3 linked regions of the Drosophila melanogaster genome follow. The protein of the gene in region 1 interacts with the protein of each later gene in a pairwise test. Each region holds a gene or a part of one and is shown on either strand. Other genes may lie near its edges.

Region 1 (7,274 bases):
TTATATTCTACATGAGGAGATTCAATGGATATGGCTCAACAATTAATAATCAATAAGAAGAATGTATCTTAGCTATGTCAAGTAAAATAAGAAACTGTGTTTGCTTCTTTTCTAAAATTAACCGGAAAGTGTATTGCAAGTTCGTATTTCTTCAAACAAACTTGAAGAAAGATACATCTTCGATTATTTTTTATAATTTGACTGCTAAGTAGTTCCTCTGCGTCGTCTGGCCGTTCCAATTTAAAAGCAGTTTTTTACCCGCAGCGACCTTGATCATTTTAAAGCCAAATTAAAGCCATTTATGGCCCACAGAGCGGTACGTCGTGGCTCGACGACTGCCAGCTGACAGAGAGGCGTCTAAAGGCGTGACGAACTGCCACCAACTTGAGCGTTTTATTCAGCTTTTTTTCCAGTTTCTTTCTGATTTCTAGTGGCTCCAACTCTAAAGTGTGCCAAAGTGCTTTGCGGATCGGCGAGGGACCTTTCTGAATTGTCATTGTCTATTTTTGCCACTCTTGACATTTGCATAGAGGAATAAGGCTAGACTGCCAACTGGCCAGGCTGGTGCCACTCGGCTCGAATTTCCAATTAAGATTAAGTAAAATAAGTCTTTGGCTTGGACGGTTTCCGCTTCAACGAAGACGCACAGCATCTGCCTGATGAAATTTACGTCAATTGGAGAACCAGTTTTCCATTTCATTAAAATTTGCTCATCTCGTTTCGGCGAATTCTTGCAAAACATTCAATGAAATTCACGCTTAAAACCGCAAAAATTTAACATCGGCCAAATTATTAAATGTCCAATTACTGTGAAACCATTTATTCCTTTCCCTTTTATTGGGTTTTCTTTTCTTGCAATGCAATTATCCGATTGTAGAAATGTTTCGCTTGGTTTCTTGACACTTATTATGTTGACTGTTTTGGATGTATCCTTACCACAAAATAATTTAACGATTGTCTTCCTGGTCAAAACATTAAAACATTGCGCCACCTACATCTGAAGATAAAAGTAGACTTCATTGTTCCTCGTTTTGGTTAAGCTCACAATTAATTATTTTTGTTGTACACATTTTTGTTGCATATCGTTGTAATAAATTTTGGTTCAAAGTGCAATTTGTTCAATTCAATCGTTCTATAAACAGTTTATTGTGTTTGTGGTTTTTGGTTATAAATACAAAGTTTTCATTGTACACATAAAATATAGTTACCTAATGTTTCCTTATCTATGGCTTCTGAAATTGACACAAGTCGACAAAAATCGATGTTGTGTTATGCCGAACTAAACACTTTCTAAAATAACTATTTGCTTAGACTGCCAAAAATCTCATTTTGTCGACCAGTGCAGTTTTATACAATTTTTTGCTGTGACTTTCAGATTTCTATGAAAACTCGATTCGGATGCATTCGTTTTCATGGAAGATCTTGACCAGGCCCATGTCGATATCGCTAACAAAAATAGCTCCCTCTAATATAATTTCCATTGTTCTCCGATTCTGGTTCCACATTATATCACACACTTAATATCTCGCGTTACAAAAACAAATTTGCGACTTTGTGGTTTCCCAGCGTACAGCGTTGCTTGGTGCCCTTTCTTAGTCATTTTTCGGATTTTACTTTCGCAGAAATGACACAAATTCGCCTTACATTTAGTTTTTCCTTTTGGTCTTATACATTTTGTAATTTTTGTATTGAAGAAAAATGAATTTCAGTCAGAATTATATTTCTGCAAACCGAATTAAAGCCATTGCTGCGAAAGATAAAATCGGAACATGCCCGCTGTTTGTGATCAGAGCAGCTGCTTTTGGAATTTCTCATAGGTACGTACGTTATGGTTTCTCTTATCTCGGTTCAAGTGCTTTGGCAAATTAACAAACTAATACAAAAAGCTAACAACAAGTTTGACTACACACATAAAGCTGACAAAACAAAACAAAATGAAGACCTGCGGGTCGACATAGCGCACCCAGTTACTTCATAATACTAGAAAGGCTGGTGTAACCACTGTTGGGCTGGGCGGGCTCCTGATGCCGACCGCACCGTCCACAGCAGCAAATGCTCTTCACCACGTCAAGGAAGCTCGTCTGGTCGAAGTCGTCCAGGTCGGTCATGAAGACACCAGAACTAATGTCCTCTGCAGTGCGCGTTCCGACAAATGCCTTGAGATCGGTGGTGGGAAAGCCATCCTTGTAATACGCCTTTATCGTGTCGTAGGCATCCATTATGACGGCAATGAACAGCGACAGGACCACATAAATGTACAAGGATATGAACGAGTACAAGTAGATCTGGCAGAACCACCACAGCCAGGTGGCCTTGCTGGAAAGCGTGGCAAAGGTGGCGAACATATCATCACCGTTTATCAGCGCAAACAAGCACTCTGACGTTGTAGCCAGCGATCGGAACTTCATGTGATAGGGTCCCAAGATCAGCCAGCCGCAAAACACAAATCCAGCATAGATCAGCAAGGCGGCGATAAGGAAGCGCAGAATCTTTGGTGCCGCCTTTTTCAGCGTCAGTATCACAACGTTGTAGGTTTTGAAGAAGCCGAGGTAGCGCAGCACTCCGAACCAAACAAGCAGGTTGCCAATTCCCAGAAAAAGCGAGCAGGTATCCCATTGGTCCACCACCAAGTACCTTCCCTCGATTTGCTCTTTTAGAGCTGATCCAATGATCAAAAGGACGTCATTGAAAATGATCATGATGTACCTGCGAAAGCAAAACGGTTTATTATAGTCTGCAACCTTTCTGATAATTTTTGGGTTTACGTCGGCCTAACCTTCAGCATTATGGGTAATACTTGTTGCCAATATAGCCGAGGTTTTTATAACACAAAACAAAGGACTCACCAAAAGTTAACGAATTCCAGTCGGCCGTCAAAGCTCAGCTCCTTGCCGAATTGCGAACGGAAAAAGTTGACAGTTGTACATCTCAGCAGATATGCTCTCCACAGAGCCCTTGTACAGAGTGCAAAGGATAGTGCGCATGTTAGTAGGACGAATATATTAAGTACGCTTCGCAGCATGGAATCGAAATTGGCGTCTGATATGAAGTCCGTTGCTCCGTGGCACTTCAGCCGCGTCGCCTCCGCATCCAGTGAGAGCAGCATTTGCCCGTCATGGTCTCGGTTGTTAAACGTTATGGAAATGTCAAACCGAAAACAATCAGGAGCAGAAAGAGGTCCACCATTTGCCTTGAAATTAACCGTCTTTATCTTGAACGTCAACTGTGCGGAGACAAGAGATGCAAAATTGACCTCCACATCGCGCTGCCTGAGGTAATTCTCCACCCCAATGGTGGTTACGTTCGGAGGTAGTCGCTCACACACCTCGTCGATATGTGGATCGAAAATGTAGGACTCATTAAAGCCAAATATGGTGCCCTCTCTATAGTTCTGCAGGCAAAGCTTTAGTGGCGGCATTGTGTTATTGGGCGTCGGGTAGTCGTATGGTCCAATAGATCGGCTTACATTCGCGTAGCCATTGACTGCATACTGCACAGTGTCGAAGAACTCCGATTTGAGGTATAGAGCAAAGGGACCCACAGCAGGCGGATAACTCTCCACCTCCCGGGAAGAATCCCAGCCGCGCAGGAATAGATGTGAGAAGGCAAATCGGTTATCACCCGTGTAGTTGATGTGGTTATACCGCGAGTGGGCAAAAAGGCACAATTGCATCGTCACCAGAAAGATTTTTACAATCTAAGAGAAAAATTCTTGAGTTGCTAAGAAATGTTTATAGTATAACTTTTAAAGTTTCTATTTGCCTTTTGGCCTCAGGGGACGGACCTTTTCTTGGTCGCCAGTTCAGAGATCTAGAGGCTGGGCTATAAATAGAAGCCGAATTATGTTAGAGCATGCGTCAGACTATATTTATTGGGTATCTACAGGAAATCTAATTTAGTTGTAGACCTTAGAGACTAAGTGTAGACTTAAAGACTAGTCATAACATTTTCGCATTAATCATTAAAAATCGCACAAAAGAAATCCCCCTGACCACGATGTTTATCGCATATTAAATAACTTTTTGGGTTCTACAAAAGCGTCCACACGCAGTTTCTAGCCATAAAATTCTTGAATTTTCACTTTGTTTATTACGTATTGTGCTAACAATAGTTGGACCTATCAGATAAGGCATCGATAAGAGTGGAGGGGCTTAACAATGCAAGCAAAGTAATCAAGACTGTGTTGACTCTACCCCATTTTACATGCTCGAAATCTAGACAAACATTGAAGATCGGAGACGGCTGTTTAAAGGCGTCTGTAAATTAAGAGAAATGCCTAAATAAGTGGTTCAGATGTGTCACCCGAGTTCCGCCCCCAAACGCCGCGCATCACACGACTTCAATTAACTAGCATTCATCCAGATGTGAACTGCAAATGAAACCCGGATGTGAACTCACCTGCACAACGAACTTGTACGGAAATTTCCGCTTGGCCTGCCATTTCTCAATGGGGTTCATAAAGAAGAACTGAAGCTTCCTGCGCATTCGCTCCTCCTGGTAAGATGCAGCCGAGGATCCGGGGAATTCGGGCTGCTCCTCGCGGCCATCCACGGAGGGTGGGGCAGTGCCACTACCGGCGGATATGGGCATGGGCACCACCGGGGCCACCGGAGTGGACTGCAGCTGCACTTGGCGCCGCAGTATCCTGGTGTTCACGTACTCCTCGTCGCTCTCCGGCGACTGCTGCTGTTGCTGGGCAGCCTCGTAGCTGTCCGTGCGGCGCTTGACGGCCGGAGCTGTCTGGGCTCCGGGGCCGTAGCTCTGCATCTCGATGTGCTCCTCCTTCGTTGCGAGGTCAAGTCACCTGCGTTGTTGTTCTCCGTGCTAACTTTCTTTTGCCCGCCCAGTCGACATGCAAAAGAAGAATCCGCACAGGCGCAACAAGCAATCGGGGGAGGGGAGGTAAATATGTGTTCTTTTGCAATTAATACGCGACTTTTGCCAGCGAATTTATATTAAATACTGGCCAAAAGACCACGAAAATTGCTTTGTTTTCAATAGGTTTAAACGATTACAGATGTTTATTCGATATAATCGACTGTTCCAAATAGAGTTCAGCATCGATAGTTGCTTGCAATCATCGATTATTTAAATCGCGCGCCTTTTCATCGGTAGTCAAAATTCAAGTGCAGCACGGTGAAACATGAAACATGGAGAACTTTCCTATTTATTTATTTTTTTCCGTTATTTGGAGGTGAATTCCAAAAAAAATTAAATAATGTTAAGAAAGAAAAGATCTAACTATCTATGTACGAGTTCAGTTTATAGAACTCAGCTCTAAATATCGAAAAAATAATTAATTAAAAACTTCCCCGTATTCCAAATTCCGCCGTTCCTCTAACGCAGCTAACTCATCGACGCTACATGGACGTACATTCAAAATTATATTGAGGTCCATCCATTTATTATTCTTTTATGTTCAAGAAATATGACTATTTCCTTTTTTTATATTTTTGAATTTATGAGAAATCAACTTTATTTTGCGGTCTTGAAAACTGCTACCTCATTTTTGACATTGTATTTTACATTAAACATACGTACGTACTTACATATGTCAACATCTGTCACTAATGCTTAGTTATCTTATTAAATTGAAGTTAAAAAATAAACTAAAAGCGTAAAATAATACATAATCATTTGGAGCAAATATAATACTCACAGGAAAAAACAAATGTTTTCTTTCTGCCCAAGAAGAACTCTTGATAAAACCCACGAAGTCTTCCCATACGTTTCACTGTTCCCAGTGCATAAACATTTCAAAAGGAGTTCCAATAAACTAAAAGCGTAAAATAATACATAATCATTTGGAGCAAATATAATACTCACAGGAAAAAACAAATGTTTTCTTTCTGCCCAAGAAGAACTCTTGATAAAACCCACGAAGTCTTCCCATACGTTTCACTGTTCCCAGTGCATAAACATTTCAAAAGGAGTTCCAATGAATCGATGGCTTTAGTTGCAAGAACTTACAGAGATCTTATCGTGAGATCACACTTACAGTGATCTCTTATATGCTTAACATGTTTTTTTGTATTCACCACGACTTCAGAAATGTTTGTCGAAACACAAAACACAACTGTTCCCAGTGCTCGGAATATTTTAAAAATGTTTCTTTTAGAAGAAGTGTTCTCCAAGTTTCTAGTCTTTCCCGCAGGATTCACCCTCGTATCTACCATCTATTGAACATTTTGCACCATTTAAGCATATCTGGACAAACACACTTTTAATAGTTTCTCGTTTGTATTTATATATGGCAAATTTAACAAATTTTCATTTAAAAATATACATACATACATACATACAGCTAAAACACCTCTCATCGGGCGCATTTTCGCTCTTCTCTGCTCACAATTCGCGTTCAATTAATTATAATTATTATTTTAGCTTTAGAGACTTAAATATTACGTACAATCACACGCACTTAACTACGTACTAGCAAAACACATTGATACATTACATTTTTCACGCTCGTTTTGATTTTCAAATACATAAATTAACTAGTTTCTGTTTAAGCATAATTTGTTTGCTGCTGCGCATCGTGTATGGAAAGCAGAAAATTTCGATTACATTTACATAAAATATTTGATTTTGATTCTCCATCGTCGTATAAATATGTGTGTCGTTGTGTTTATGTGTTACATTTACAAACGTACATTTAGATGTGTGGGTGTGTGTTTATTTTATATAAAACAATAACTAGTCTGAAGACCTTGTGACTAGACGGTTTTTTCGGCTTCTCTAATATGTATGTATGTAGAGTTATAAAATATATGCTATGTATGATTTTCGCTTCAGCTTCTGCTCGCTTCTACTTCGGGATCGCAGGATTTTCCTCGAAAACGAATAAAAATAGTTTGGAAACCCATAGGACACATATGTAGAGTCCCGCAATGCCAGAGCGATCAAAGAGTTAAGAACCGGCTGGTATATGTTTATAGGTGGATGACTTCCAACACAGACACACAATTCGTTCGATCCATACAAACTACAATACATAAAACAAAGAAGTAAGCCAAAAGACGATCGTTTCCTGCTCGACTCGGTTCCTGAGTAACTTTTCCATCTCTCTCATCCGGCTATTTAGCTCATCCTGGTCATCCTGCTCCTTCTTCCTTAGTTTCTACACTGCCTTCTCCTTATCTCTATACTATACTCTCACGATCGCGGGCTGCTGCCGATGCCGCCATATCCGTGAATCCGGTTCGTGCGCCGTGCACACCGCTGGGCAGGATTCCTACTCGCCTAGCCTCACCGCTACGCACGCCGTTGCCCTT
Region 2 (8,850 bases), on another chromosome or scaffold:
ATTCCAGGTAATGATGTTGTTGTGTCTTTTTTTCCATTTTGAAACTATGAGACTATAAGTTTCTTTGTCTGAAGTTCCCACGCCCATAAGCCCCATTAATGGCATTCATTTGTTTTCAGGCTGGCGTGGTTAAGAAAACGCGCTTCCTGACCGTCACCTCAACCATTGAGAAGGTGATCCAGGAGGAGCACACCAAGGAGTACTCCGAAGACGATGGCCCGCTGACGGAGAACATTTTGGAGGCCACCGCCAGCACCGATGATAAGACCTTAACAGGCAGCGTTACGACCTTGAAGCCCATCTATCTGGGCGAGGAGACCGAGACCCCCAGCCTGGAGACCATAACGGAGTCCTTTTCCATAACGCACACCAAGCTGAAGACCCAGATCCTCCCAGTTGTGTACGCAAAAAGGAACGAGACCATCCAAGTTACCCTAGTTCAGACGTACGATTACACCAGTCTCATCACTGTAACACAGACCATTTCCCCCTTGAGCGACGACTTCAATCCCTCAAAGAACTTCAAGGACTTCGAAGGAAGTTTGGACGAGGCTGGGTCGGAAATCAACCTGGACCTCGAGTTCGGAGATGAAGATAATACGGGCAAATTCGACGCAAAGATTAAACCAAAACTCAAAGTTGAGGCCAAGAGTAATGTAACTAGCCCGATAAACCCTCTGCTCCCGGAATCGATTAGCTTCCCGGAAACGCTGCAAAACAGCTTGATAACTTCCACGCGACCCGTGATCAAGCTCGAGACCATCTGGGAGTCCCATGTGGTGCCGCTTGTCAGAGGCACCGAGACCATCATGAGAACCCTCTCCAAGTCCGTGGGTGTGGTGGAGAAGACGGAATACGTCACTGATGTCGCCACGATTTCCATGCCAACGCCATCCTCGCAGTATCCCTTCTCGATCAACCCATTCAATCCCTTCAACCCACTCTTGCCCATTGCCCCGCAACAGTTCATCACATCCACCGAGGTCCAGCAGTCCATGGTAACGGAAACGAGCTCCAAGGTTCTAAAGCTGACCTTTGGCGCGAGGACCGCCTACACCACCATCTTCTCAACCTCTGTCGTTCCCACAGCTGTCACTAGATTAATAACCGCCACCATTCCCGGCCAGCCAGGCCAATCCTTCCCCAACTACTTTCCGCCTCCTTACAATCCATTCGCCTATGTTGGCTAGTTTTTAGGAGCATCTACGCAAGCGAGAGTGTCTAACCCCATTACTTCTTTGTAATTAGGAATCCTGTATTATATTTAAGAACACGTGCAAATATCGAAAAGGCGGTGATACAAAAAGCAGTAGATTTTATTATATTGTATGTGCACTTTGTCGCAAAAGTTGTTAATGTAAATACTCGAGTTAAGACTAAATTAGGATTGCATCGAATTTTTTGGATCTAAGATAAGCAAAATATGGTTGTAGTTCGGTTTAACTGATGTTAATAAATTTTTGAACCCTTTTATTCCCTAAATTAGTTTTTCATTCCGTATTTACTGCAGCTTAAGAGTTATTTGATTCTTCAAATGATCGATACTAATAGTTATACACTGTGTTCCATTCCACCGTTTCACGCGGAAGAGAACCGACAGAAATGCAGAATTGCTGCCTTTGCAAACAATATATAGAAATCGATTCCCAGCTATGCACATTTACCAAATGCTTTCCGTTACAACACTTATCAACATTATCTAATAAAGTTCAATACTTTCACTTTGTAATATAAATTACACTCCAACATCGATATCGATATCTGTGTCTCTATCGATACCCGCGTGTGCGTTCGCATTTCACATCTCTGGGGCTTTGGCGTCACGTTCGCATCTCTAGTAAATTGGAAAAAAATAAAATCGTCGGAGTTTTTATGTGCTTGCAGAGTAGTGTAAGTAATTGCTATTTTTGTGCCAGCTGCTTGCCGGTAGTAAACAACGCGCGTGAACTGTGATGCCTTGCAATCCTCAGCGCAATTCAAGTGCGGTTTAAGTCCGAACGACCCAAGAAACCCGAAGTGTACGTACATATGTATGTTTTCGCGTGTGTATTTTTATGCACATGCAATTCTATGCTGCTGCCATGCAAAGGTGCAAAAAATGCGAAATGCAAATATCGTTCACAGAATGCCCATTGATCTGACCGGATTTTAGGTGGCACATACGCATATGCATATAGCATGTTCCCGGAATTGTGCAACTTCGCATACATACATATGTAATGTCTTATGTTGGCATAATTATCCGCTGTTCAAGGGAAGTGCATGGTGCAAATCGGGAATCTATATTCGGCATACTTTGGTAAAGGGCCAATGAGATCGTATTTATTAGAAAATTGCCCATCCGCCGTAATATATAGCACAGCACCAATGATTAAGTTCGCACTTCCATCTTATCCCGAAGCAATCAAGAATGATTTCTGAACCTGCATGGCTTGCTACTGCTTAGTAGCTTATTTTAGTGATCTCTTAAGATTTGATGCAATATCATGTTTCCCACTAATCGACTATATGCATAGTTTCAGTTTTAGACTGTCCACTTAAACGTGTTAATCATGTTTTTAGGATTGCAGCGCATTGTCACACACATTATCTAAACAGCTTTATCTGTTTGTTTATTAAGATATTTATGAAGCATATTATGTATTCCCCCTGCTTTGACTCTGATAACGCAAGTGCCGTGGACACTATAAGATAATCGTATTTAATCTCTTCTTCGCAGATTTCTTTCATATGCAACTATGTCGGTACACTATAAATTTAAGAGTACACTCAACTTTGATACAATTACTTTTGATGGACTTCACATTTCTGTCGGGGACTTAAAAAGGGAGATTGTGCAGCAGAAGCGACTGGGCAAAATCATCGACTTTGATCTCCAAATAACAAATGCGCAGAGTAAAGAAGGTATGTCCACCGCAATTTAGAATTTTTCCCCTGCTACATGGCTTCCTTCCCTTTTCCAGAATACAAGGACGATGGGTTCCTTATTCCCAAAAACACAACGCTGATCATATCGCGCATCCCCATCGCCCATCCCACAAAAAAGGGCTGGGAGCCACCAGCAGCAGAAAATGCCTTTTCGGCGGCGCCTGCCAAGCAGGACAACTTCAACATGGACCTGTCCAAAATGCAAGGCACGGAGGAGGACAAAATCCAGGCCATGATGATGCAGAGCACAGTCGACTATGATCCTAAGACGTATGTGGTTTTAAATTGTTACAAAACCACCTATCTAATGTATTTTCTGTTTAGGTACCATCGTATTAAAGGACAATCGCAAGTGGGAGAAGTTCCCGCATCCTACCGATGCAACAAATGCAAGAAAAGCGGACACTGGATCAAAAACTGTCCCTTTGTGGGGGGAAAGGACCAGCAAGAGGTCAAACGGAATACTGGTATTCCGCGGTCTTTCCGCGACAAGCCAGATGCGGCTGAGAACGAATCAGCCGATTTTGTGCTGCCTGCTGTACAAAACCAAGAGATACCGGAGGATCTGATATGCGGCATATGCCGAGATATATTCGTCGATGCTGTCATGATACCCTGCTGCGGAAGTTCCTTTTGTGACGACTGTGTGCGAACCTCCTTATTGGAGTCAGAGGATAGTGAGTGCCCCGATTGCAAGGAGAAGAACTGTTCGCCTGGCTCCCTGATACCTAATCGGTTCTTGAGGAATTCGGTGAACGCCTTTAAAAATGAGACTGGGTATAACAAAAGCGCGGCTAAGCCAGGTAAGTTCATTATACTCGTTTGCATCGCTTAATGCAAATGAATCGAATTTCTCTTTTTAGCTGCAGTAAAAAATGAGGAAAAACCTCCTGTTGAAAAAGAAGTGGAGAAAAAGCCAGTCGCGGAGGTGGAACCCGAAGAGACTGAGGTGAAACCTGAAAAGCAAAAAGAATCCGAAACCAATGGCAGTAATCCGCCAAAATCGGAATCTCCAGAGCCTCCCGCAACCACAGAACCATCACAGAAGGAGAAAGATAAATATGATTCAGACTACGAGGATAACATTACCATAAAAATGCCCCAGCCTGCAGCTGATTCTACAACAGTGCCCAGCAAAGTGAGACATACATATTTGACACATCTGCAACATAGATACATAATTATTGCCTTAATGTTTCAGAGATCCCCCAGTTATTCCCACAGAAGTGAATCCTCTCATCGACGGGACAGGTCGGATTATGTTTCCGATCACGATCACAAGCACCAACGTCCATCAAAATCGGAGTCTGTTAACAAGGATCGCAGTCTCCTGCCCTTGCCCATTGGCACCCTGCCTAGCTACCAGGGCCACATGATGGCCGAATCAGAAGAAGCTCGTCGATCGAGTGCCTATAAGCCCCCTTATATGCAAATGCAGCGGGGCCCACCTCCTATGCACATGATGAGTCACCACATGCCAGCCTACAACAACGGGTTTAACAACATGGGACAGAGGCCTCCCCTCAGGTAGGTTTCTTTTCCACCCGTCCGGATCCCGCTACCATGTGGATCGAGTCAAGTGTCGAGGCCACTGGAACTCCGAGGTGTTGACGAGTCCATACGCAGCCGGTCCTGCCTGATCTCAATATTTTTAAGTTCCAACAGAGACTATACACACACACTAGTTAAGAGTAATTTAAGCTCTGGGCTCTGCGCCTTTATGCTTTGTTGAATATTGGTTATTCCTAATTAAAACAGTATTGCTTACAATCAACGTTAAGCTTTTTGAATTGTAATTAACTTCTAAAATTTCAGCTATGTGCCGTATCAAAACCAATCCGTACACCCAATGCGTGCGCCGTACGGATCTGCAGGCGGAGGTATGAATATGAATATGTCACAACCATTTCAGTCCCCAAATTTAGCCTCGATATACCAAGGGGTGGCAGCGAAGGTCGGTTCCGGGTGAGTATCTTTAGGGCGTTGTAGAAGCGTGGGATGACAAGTAATCCCAATGTTTTGCAGTCCCATTGACGATCCGTTGGAGGCCTTCAATCGCATCATGAAGGAGAAGGAGCGGAAGAAGGTGGACCGCTTTCGAAGCTCTGACCGCCACAGGTCAAGGTCCCCGGATAGACAAAGGCACCGCTTTAAGTCTCCCATGTACGAAAAGGACAACTCCAGGGATAATCTCAAGGACAAAAGACCGCGATCCCGGGAAAGGAAGCGAGAACATAGCTACGAACGGCATATACGCCACCCTCGTTCTAGTCGCCAGCCGAATGATGGCTCTAAGTCCCCAGGTGGCAGAATCAAAAGGTAGTTTTACCACCAGCCCTTTTCCATGTGCTTACATTCATGGTCTACTCTCTGCTTTTTAGATCTGGACATCGTCGCTCTGCATCTCCAAAGCCGGGCTACAAGAGTGATTACAGAGACAAGCCGTACAACAAGCCTAGTGCTCCCAAAACGGAGGCAGTTGAGCCTCCTCCCCCCGGATTCGAGCCGTTGCAGCTGACGGATGAAGACGGCTACAGGAACAAGCACCCGACCAGTTCGGAAGCATCACAAAGCAGCAAGGGTGATAGCAGCAAGAAGAGAGGGGAAAACAGGCACGAAGAGGCGCCACGAAAGAGGCACAGGTCTCGCAGCATTAGCAAGGAACCGAAGCCGAATGACAGCAACTACAGGAGCCTGACTCCACCAGCAAAGATCACCACACCGAAAATGACTGCTGCCCAGTTGAGGCAACGCGAAAGTTCACCGAAGACGCCGGAAAAGAGTCACGACGATTATCTGACCGCGAAGGCCAGAATTATGGCCTCCCAGCCCGTCATCAACGACACGGAAATGGAGACCAATGTGGGCAAGGAGAACAAGGCCAAGAGTCCGTTGTCAAAAGATCGCAAGAAGAAGAAGAAGGACAAGGACAAGGCTGAGCGCAAGAAAAACAAGAAGGACAAGCGCGCTAAGAAGGAGAAAGGGGATCGCCAGAAGAAGAGCTCCTCAGTTAATCGATCTGACTCGGATATTAACAACAGCTCACTAATGAACGAGTCAAATTATAAAGTATTGTCTCCCAGGGCTCAAAGTCCCAGCATTGAGATCAATGCGGCTCAACTTTCCCCTACTCACAACGCTACTGAAAACGTTAATCCGAAGAGTCATTCCATCCTTACTGTGGGTGCTGCTAGCGACGATAATCTTGGCCCAAGAAGCAAACTCAGCGAGGCTAATTCTGTCAATCTATCCAAATGGGAAATCGACGAGAATATCTTAGGTTTGGAGGATTCCTCCAAAAAAGCTGCCGGGGCCTCCGACGATCCGTCGGAAATAACTTCAGACGTCCTGCGAAAGGCTGAGAACGCAATATTTGCAAAGGCTATTAATGCCATCAGGCCTATGGAGTTTCAAGTTATTATCAATTCCAAGGACAACAGCAAGGACCGCTCCGTAGTTCGAAGTGACAAGGATCGCTCCTCCTCACCCAGGCGTAACAACAGCAGCAGGTCGGTAAAGGATAGGCTGGGCACCAAGATTTCCAATGATAGAAGCCGTTCGCGAGACAAGTCGAAGGGCAGGCGCCGGGCCGCAAGGAGCTCCGACGACGATGCGAACCGCGGCAGGTCGGATCGTCATGGCAGCCGGAAGAGGGACAACAGATCCCGCGACAGGGCGGCGCCTTCAGAGAAGAGGCAGGAGCGTTCGTACAAGCGAAGCTCGCCGGAGGACGACAAGCTGAGGCGCCAGAACAAGGAACAGTCCGAATCCAAGCACGGAAAGCATGATCAAAACAATAGCGACGACTCGGATCGGAGGGCGGCCAAAAACACCAAGTCCAGCGACAGCCGAGTGGTCTCCTCTGTAACAGCCGTGGTTGCTCCTCCCAAACCCTGTCGTCCAGACAACCCGTTCCGCAAGTTCGTCGACACCAGTTCGTCGAGCAGCTTAGTTGTAAAATATGATAACACGATACAGAAGGAGGGCGCGTCCTCGGACAACGGCATGGAGCACAGGAAGCAGAGGGATAAGAAGCTGAAGAAACATTCAAAATATTCGTCAACCGATTCGTTGAAGAGCGAGAAGCGCAAGGATCCGAAGAGCAAAAAGAAGAGCAAGATTTTGAAGAAGAAGAAAAAATCAAAGAAGTAGGTTACGGTAGGCTACGAGATAAGAATGATATAAATATTGAAGATTAATGTGTACAAATCAAAGATTTTTAATGTATGTATTTATCATGCAACTATAAGTATACAAATAAAACAGAACTACTCAAGGATTGCTTGCTTGTGATCGATCTAACTTTCGATTGCCCGCCGAGTTAGAAGACGGTGGATTGATATTCGAGAAATTAAATATGTTTATTACAAACAGTTATCTTAAAAAATCGATTAAATTACACGTGTAGAGATTGACTGAAGTTAATCATTATTGCTTAAGCCGTCCATGAAGGACGATGCCATTGGACTGGGCGTTCTGGAGATAATGTTGTCATTGCCATAGTCATCGGAGTTTGCATCCACTAAAAGCACAGAATAATAATATATATATGCATTAGGAAAACTCCGACTAGTCTGTGCTGTGCATTAAATGCTGCTTGCCTTGTTCTAGAAAATTGGATTTTCTACTCTGGGGTATGCAACTCAGCGAATGTATTATTGGACTGCAGGCTTGATCGGCTGTTTCGAGCGTGGTTGGTAAGTCTAGGAGTCGTTGATTTTGAATGCCATCCCCTGGCCCCATGTGAGAAATGTGGTTGAAATTAGTCGGTGCTGATATCATCTTTGATCTACGATCACTACAAATAAAAAGCGAATAATGAGGACTCGAATCGATTGCGCCAATAGGTTAACTGAAGCCCAACCTTTTGATGGTCTTGTTTATCTCCCTGATAGAGAATCTCCGCTTTATGCTCGGAAGTCCCTTTCGATTTCCGTCACGGTATTGCAAAAGGCCCTCTGCAAATAAAGCATGTGGTTTAATGGCCCTGATAAACAGACGTGAATGATTTAGCTTACTTGTGTGAATATTGGATAGGTAAACAATCAGCGGAGTGTCATTGACTGAGGACAGCACCACGTTTCCCAAATTGTTTAAGGGAAGTGATTGCTTCAATCCAATCGACTGCACCCATTCGGCAGTCTGCGTATTGAATATATCCAAATGTGTATCCGAAAACACCAGCAAGTGACCATCACAAAAGGCTGGAATGAGTCCACAAAAGAGTTATACATCATGAGTCATAACCGCATCTCGTTTTTTACTCACTTATATACGTAGGGAAGGCTGGATACATAATTTCCCTATCCCGAGACTTTCGCCCTTGCAGGTCTACGTATATGGCCAGAGTCTGGAACACCAGTAAGTACTCCCCGAAATTGCCGCCGCTGGGGCACAGAATTTCAATGACCCTGACCGCATCCACTCCGGAGTAGTTCAAAAATGCACATAACTGGTTCTCCGGATGAACCAAAGCTAATGAAAGATACGAAGACGTTATAAAGACTCTCAGAAAACGTCATCTATTACTACTCACACATTGCAGTTGCTTCTCCGCGCAGAAAGTATGCGGTAAATCCGCTTTGGTGAGCCACAACCAATCGCATGTCGGACAGAATCTGCAGGTGCTGCGCCATGTAGCCAATTGTGAATTCGCAAGTCTTCTGGTGTCTTGTGCGCGTTCTATTGATTTCGTAAACTACGATTTGTGTGTGGTTATTCGGCCGCTTTAGAGCGATGATAAATGAGTAAACGATATTGGGGAAGCGGCGGATTATTCCAGTGCAAGCAGATATGCAGTTCTTCGATTCGACCACCTTGATCCACTCGACATCACTAGCCTCTAATGCCCTTATAGGTAATAAACGCAAGTTGCGCTGCTTTCCGCAGAGAATGACGAGGATCTGCTCCTCTTCAATGTAC
Region 3 (4,902 bases), on another chromosome or scaffold:
TCATGTCATCTCAGCTGACTGACTGGTGAGAGGATTTTCGGGTTTAAGGATCAGGAAGGCGTCAAGACATCTGTTTTTATTGTGACTGAGTATTATTGATTTATTACAACTTAAGCTGTACTTAATTACAGGTATGCATAATTCGCATCTCTTGGCTTGAAATAATTACTGGTATCCTACTTGTTACCTTGCAAGATTAAAGGGTCTTCGTATAACTTTTTATTAAAGTGATCGGAACATAAAGTTTTTGAACCATTCCGTCTATTTAATAAATATTATTAGAGAGCTGTAAATATTCCAGAAAATGATCCTCAAAAAGTCTAGTAAAAATACATTTTTTAAATATTATTTATGTTGAGTAGCCACCAAATCAAAAACGACAGCTGTTTAATAACAACATACTCTTTATTTACAAAATATATTTACAAGATATACAATTACAAAGAACCCTATGACAAACTATTTCCAGCAGCTAACCAGTGATAAAGACAGTGAAATTTATTTTATACATTTTATTTTATTTGTCCTTAATAGATTTTCACATAGATATTTCTGTTCTTATTATCCATTCAATTCATTGTGCGCCGAAACCTTTCACTGATAAACTTGGCCAGCTAAACTGTTCATAAATGGCGAAATTTACAAACAGTTAGCTGGTATTTATCCTAAACCTGGAGTTCTTGGCCCAGCACAATGGCTTCCATTGGATGGCTGGATTGGAAATAATTTACAAAAGGCATTGCTTGTTTCATCTTGGGGGTTCTTATCAGCTACAGAGAGTGTGGCAGGGCGGAAGTTTGACTTCCAGGGGGTATTTTAAGAGTTTGCTTCTGCGCTCGGTTTTGGAAAGGAAGGCCGACAGGTGGAGAGAGTGGGGAAGATAATTGAAAATGTTGCTAGATATCCTTCGGCTCATTTCCATTAAGTCCGCTCGCTCCAATAGATTCGCCTGCTTCCGGTCCATTCCGTCCGCTTACTTGTGGTAACCATGGTGGTCGGAGTAGACGGTGGCATCGTGGCCAATGGCGCTAACAGGGTAGCTGCTGACGGCAACGGTGGGTGCGTGCTTGACCACGGAGTGGGACACCACGGGCACCTTCACGTAGACGGGGTAGGGACGATCCACATGCACGGGCACCTGGACATTGACGGCCTTCTCCACGTAGACAGGGTAGGGCTTGGCCACTGGCACGGGGTAGGGCCTGGGCACCTCAACGGGCACTGGGCGATCGACGGGCACATGGACGGGCACCTTCTCGTGACGGATCACTTCGTAGGGCTGGGGCACTGGCACGGGCACCTTGACGTACTCCTTAACGGTCACGGGCACCTTGCGGATGACTTCGTAGGGCTGGGGCACGGGCACCTTAACTTCGACGGGCACGCGCTTCTCATGGACGACGGGATAGGGGCGGTCCACATGCACGGGCACTGGGATTCCCTTGGTGATGGTGATGGTCTTGTGCACATCGGCCTGCTTGCTGATCACATAGGGGGCGGGAGCGTGGTGGACAGCGACGGCGGGAGCAGTGTGTCCAACGGCGATCGCGGGACCACTGTGGCCCACGGCGACGGCAGCGGGTGCGGAGTATCCGGTCAGTCCGTAGCCATGTCCGTAGCTTCCGTGGCCGGAGATGGAACCATGTCCCAGGTAGCCGGTGTCCAGACCAGCATGACCGTAGCCGTAGCCCAGATCGAGCAGGCCGCGCTTGTCCAGCTTCTTCTCCAGCGGCACCTTCTCACCCTCGGTTTTGCTGGCGCAGGCGGAGGCCACCAGCAGAGCGGCTAAGCAGATCTGCAAAGAATTGAGTTGGTGCGATTGGTTATGAAACTATGCATTTTAGAGACTTTTAAATAATAATAATATATTAATTTTCTAGCAAAATTCTAGATATTTGTGATTTCTTAATAGTTTATTTCACAATAACTAAGTTAGTAAGTAGAACTTGATTCCTTGCAAATATAGTTTAAATCTATTTCAAAATGAAATGAAATAAAATTTAGTCATACTATCTTCGAATTCTCAACTGTGCAAACTCATCTATCATGAAATTCGTATAGTCTATTCTTTAAGTATTTGAAGCTTCTCTATGATAAAACAATTCAAGATATGCAACCTACATAAATTGCCTAACGAAAACGTTGACTTTTATCACCCATTGCCTAGTTTGATCGATTACCTAATCGCAATAGAAAGCGAAGGCGATAGGCGATATGTGGCCCGATTCGCATTGTGTCGTCCGTTGTCTCATCGCCCTCTTTCGCGATTCAAATGGTCAAGTGAAATTTGTGCGTGCCTGGCATAAATGATGCAGTGCAGTCATCGCCCACTGCCACGCCCAGTTTCCGCAATACGCCTCAACCGACTGGCGTCACGTTACGCATACGCAGTGGGCAACTCAGCGAATGCATTTGGAGCTGGCTTTAATTGAGCACATGAACCCAGTTGATTACGGCCTGGTAATAAACGTGGCTGGCACTCCAATTATGATCGTTCAGTTAATAAACGCTTATTAGCCATGTCGTTCAAGTTGAATTTGGTCGTTTGCGAGCATTTCACCTTTGATTAAGGAAATTTATCGGATTGAATTGTTTCAGGAAGTTGTTTGTTGTTGAAGATGGCCAGGTAAACAATGTGAGGCATTTGCAATGCAAAAGGCTATATTGTTCCAATTAGTTCATGTCAGCATTGTTCTGTATGCAATTCTTTGAATTATTACTTGATTTCTCACACTAAAATATGCTACCAACAGCGATAGTTCACATACTCGTACCCATTTACATATCAAACTAAATTCTATATGTCTAATTACTATATGTCTGTTGTACTTACGAATACTTTCATTGTGGAGTCTAATGGGACTTGCCAAGGCTGTAAGTAAACAAAGAAAACAATAAGATTATTTATACGAAATGCAGCATAGATATTTTTTTTTTTATAAGATCAGCACTTTAATTGGTATTAACAATCTGTTCTTTGGGAAAATGTTCCTTGGAAAATTGAAGTTATTTAGAGCACACGGCTCGCACAGTTATTAGTTTATAACTTTTAGATCACAGCTTAAACTTTATTTCCGTTTCACATAGACTACACGCATTTTAGAAACAAACAAAAATTAACTTGGCATTTGGCTTCACTTACAAGCAACTCAGTAACAGCGAAATAGACTGTGGAAGGATTGTAGAATCACTAGCGATTCCAAACCTTTGACTGGATGCTGTCTGTGGTCAGTGGCGCGCTTTTATACCCCCAAAGAGTTTTTGTGTCAAAACGAAACTGAAAACACCGCCAAACCAAGTCGCTCAGCGGTTTCCAAAAGCTTTTCCCACCACAAACCAGCCTAATTGCTCTCTTCAAAGCTCTGAGTTCGGCTTGGTTTGCGCTTGTATTGGTTATATTTGTGTGTATTAGTGCGGCACGGAAAGTTGCAAGCGGAAGCGCTCACCAATACACTGGCATGCCACCAATACTCACGCAATTGCGGCTTTTCTCTGTGTGTATTGGTGACTTTAGCCGCCAACTTGAAAGTGGCTTATAAAATATGGGTGCAAATGTGATCAAATCAATTTGGGAACATAAAAAGCAAATAAAATAAATTAACTAAATCTTGAATTGAAATTTATATTGGGAAAATCCCGCAGAACGTACTAGCAATCCTTTCTTGTTTTTTTTTTGTTTTATTTGGATAAAAAGTCTTCGGGCTTCTTAGCAAGTTGTTCCCAAAAATATAGATTTCAACGAAAGGTCATATGTCTATCAAAGTCGTTATGTTTTGTTTGTCAAGTTTCAGAAGTCAGCAGTTTTGGTCGAACCTGATTCCTAATATCAATAATTCTGAGTCTACCTAATGGAAATTCAACTAGATTTTGTTTTGATTCCATTAATTAAAAAAAAAAAAAAACTTGCTTATTAGTATCATATTTATACGTTCGGCTCGCATTTTAAACAAAGGGTCTATAAATCTGGAATTGTTCAAAGGGGTAATCTGGTTTTAATCTTGTATAATTTCAATATAAAATTTATTTCGAAACATTTTGTGGCCCAATAAACAAAAGTGTAACAAAGCAATTTCTTTCATTTGAGTTTAATAAATCTCAAATTCACTTAGCAGATCTAATATCGTAGAACTTGATTTAACGGTAACTTGATTTATAACTTAATTAATGTTTCTTATAATTTTGTATGCATTTGGCGAACCGAATGTTTTCCGGATTTTAGTATTTAATTTTTAACCGGATTCAGATCTTTTAAAAATGGCAATTAATTACATTAAACTTTGATTTTGTAATTGATATTGTAGTAAGCAACATTTATCAAAGTTCACTGTACTTGTAACCAGTTACTTGCTTTATATCAGTATACATTGTTGCAAGATAGTAATTTGAGTGTGATGTCTCAATTTCTATTGCTGTCATAATTAGGCTTTCTGGTTTTCTTGCCACCTTTGGGGTACTCGGGTTACCATTTTGCACTTCCTGCAACAACCAGGTAAAAACGGAAGCTGCCTCTCTGGAATTTCTCGGCATCTTTGATGTCATTGACAATGGTTTAGTGATCACCGGGCGGAAAAAATAGATACTATCTGCGATTGGGGGTGGTGAAAAGTGATGCAACAGATGCGGTGCATAACCGTGGGCTGCGAATCTCAAGTTTCGCACTCGAAATCGATTATCGGAACGCTGGGTGTGGGATTGTGGAGTGGAATACCAACGGGGATTGCAAATGGATCTGTGACTGGAACAGTGACTGGATCGGGTGCCATGCGTGAGATCTGCACTGTGGCGTAAAAGTGAAAGGCCTTTATGGGTCGCCGTTGCAGTAGCGGCATTAGATGCTTGTGCATTTGCACAAAATCAGATTATATATCAGCCAGGCTGAGTCCGTGATTTGGCAATTGCCAG

What was found.
Region 2: the proteins of Trpml (region 1) and snama interact in a two-hybrid assay, tested with the Drosophila melanogaster proteins (one large-scale study listed by BioGRID).
Region 3: the proteins of Trpml (region 1) and Vajk3 interact in a two-hybrid assay, tested with the Drosophila melanogaster proteins (one large-scale study listed by BioGRID).

What each region holds. Positions count from the first base shown.
Region 1 is NT_037436.4:19,713,302-19,720,575, forward strand, and holds Trpml (transient receptor potential cation channel, mucolipin), read right to left. Parts: upstream 5,028-7,274; 5' UTR 4,768-5,027; coding exon 4,399-4,767; intron 3,698-4,398; coding exon 2,847-3,697; intron 2,707-2,846; coding exon 1,968-2,706; 3' UTR 1,117-1,967; downstream 1-1,116. Other genes in the region: CG42637 (uncharacterized protein), read right to left, coding at 7,143-7,274.
Region 2 is NT_033778.4:24,084,813-24,093,662, forward strand, and holds snama (something that sticks like glue), read left to right. Parts: upstream 1-1,791; 5' UTR 1,792-1,890; exon of another isoform or gene 1,891-2,018; intron 2,019-2,719; 5' UTR 2,720-2,738; coding exon 2,739-2,904; intron 2,905-2,963; coding exon 2,964-3,198; intron 3,199-3,252; coding exon 3,253-3,731; intron 3,732-3,791; coding exon 3,792-4,066; intron 4,067-4,129; coding exon 4,130-4,455; coding exon of another isoform or gene 4,456-4,459; exon of another isoform or gene 4,460-4,700; intron 4,701-4,743; coding exon 4,744-4,893; intron 4,894-4,953; coding exon 4,954-5,247; intron 5,248-5,309; coding exon 5,310-7,080; 3' UTR 7,081-7,202; downstream 7,203-8,850. Other genes in the region: CG16786 (uncharacterized protein), read left to right, coding at 1-7, 120-1,190; gek (genghis khan), read right to left, coding at 7,350-7,450, 7,530-7,726, 7,793-7,886, 7,947-8,132, 8,197-8,403, 8,465-8,850.
Region 3 is NT_033779.5:13,944,256-13,949,157, forward strand, and holds Vajk3 (Vajk3), read right to left. Parts: upstream 3,222-4,902; 5' UTR 3,143-3,221; intron 2,873-3,142; 5' UTR 2,846-2,872; coding exon 2,834-2,845; intron 1,796-2,833; coding exon 974-1,795; 3' UTR 501-973; downstream 1-500.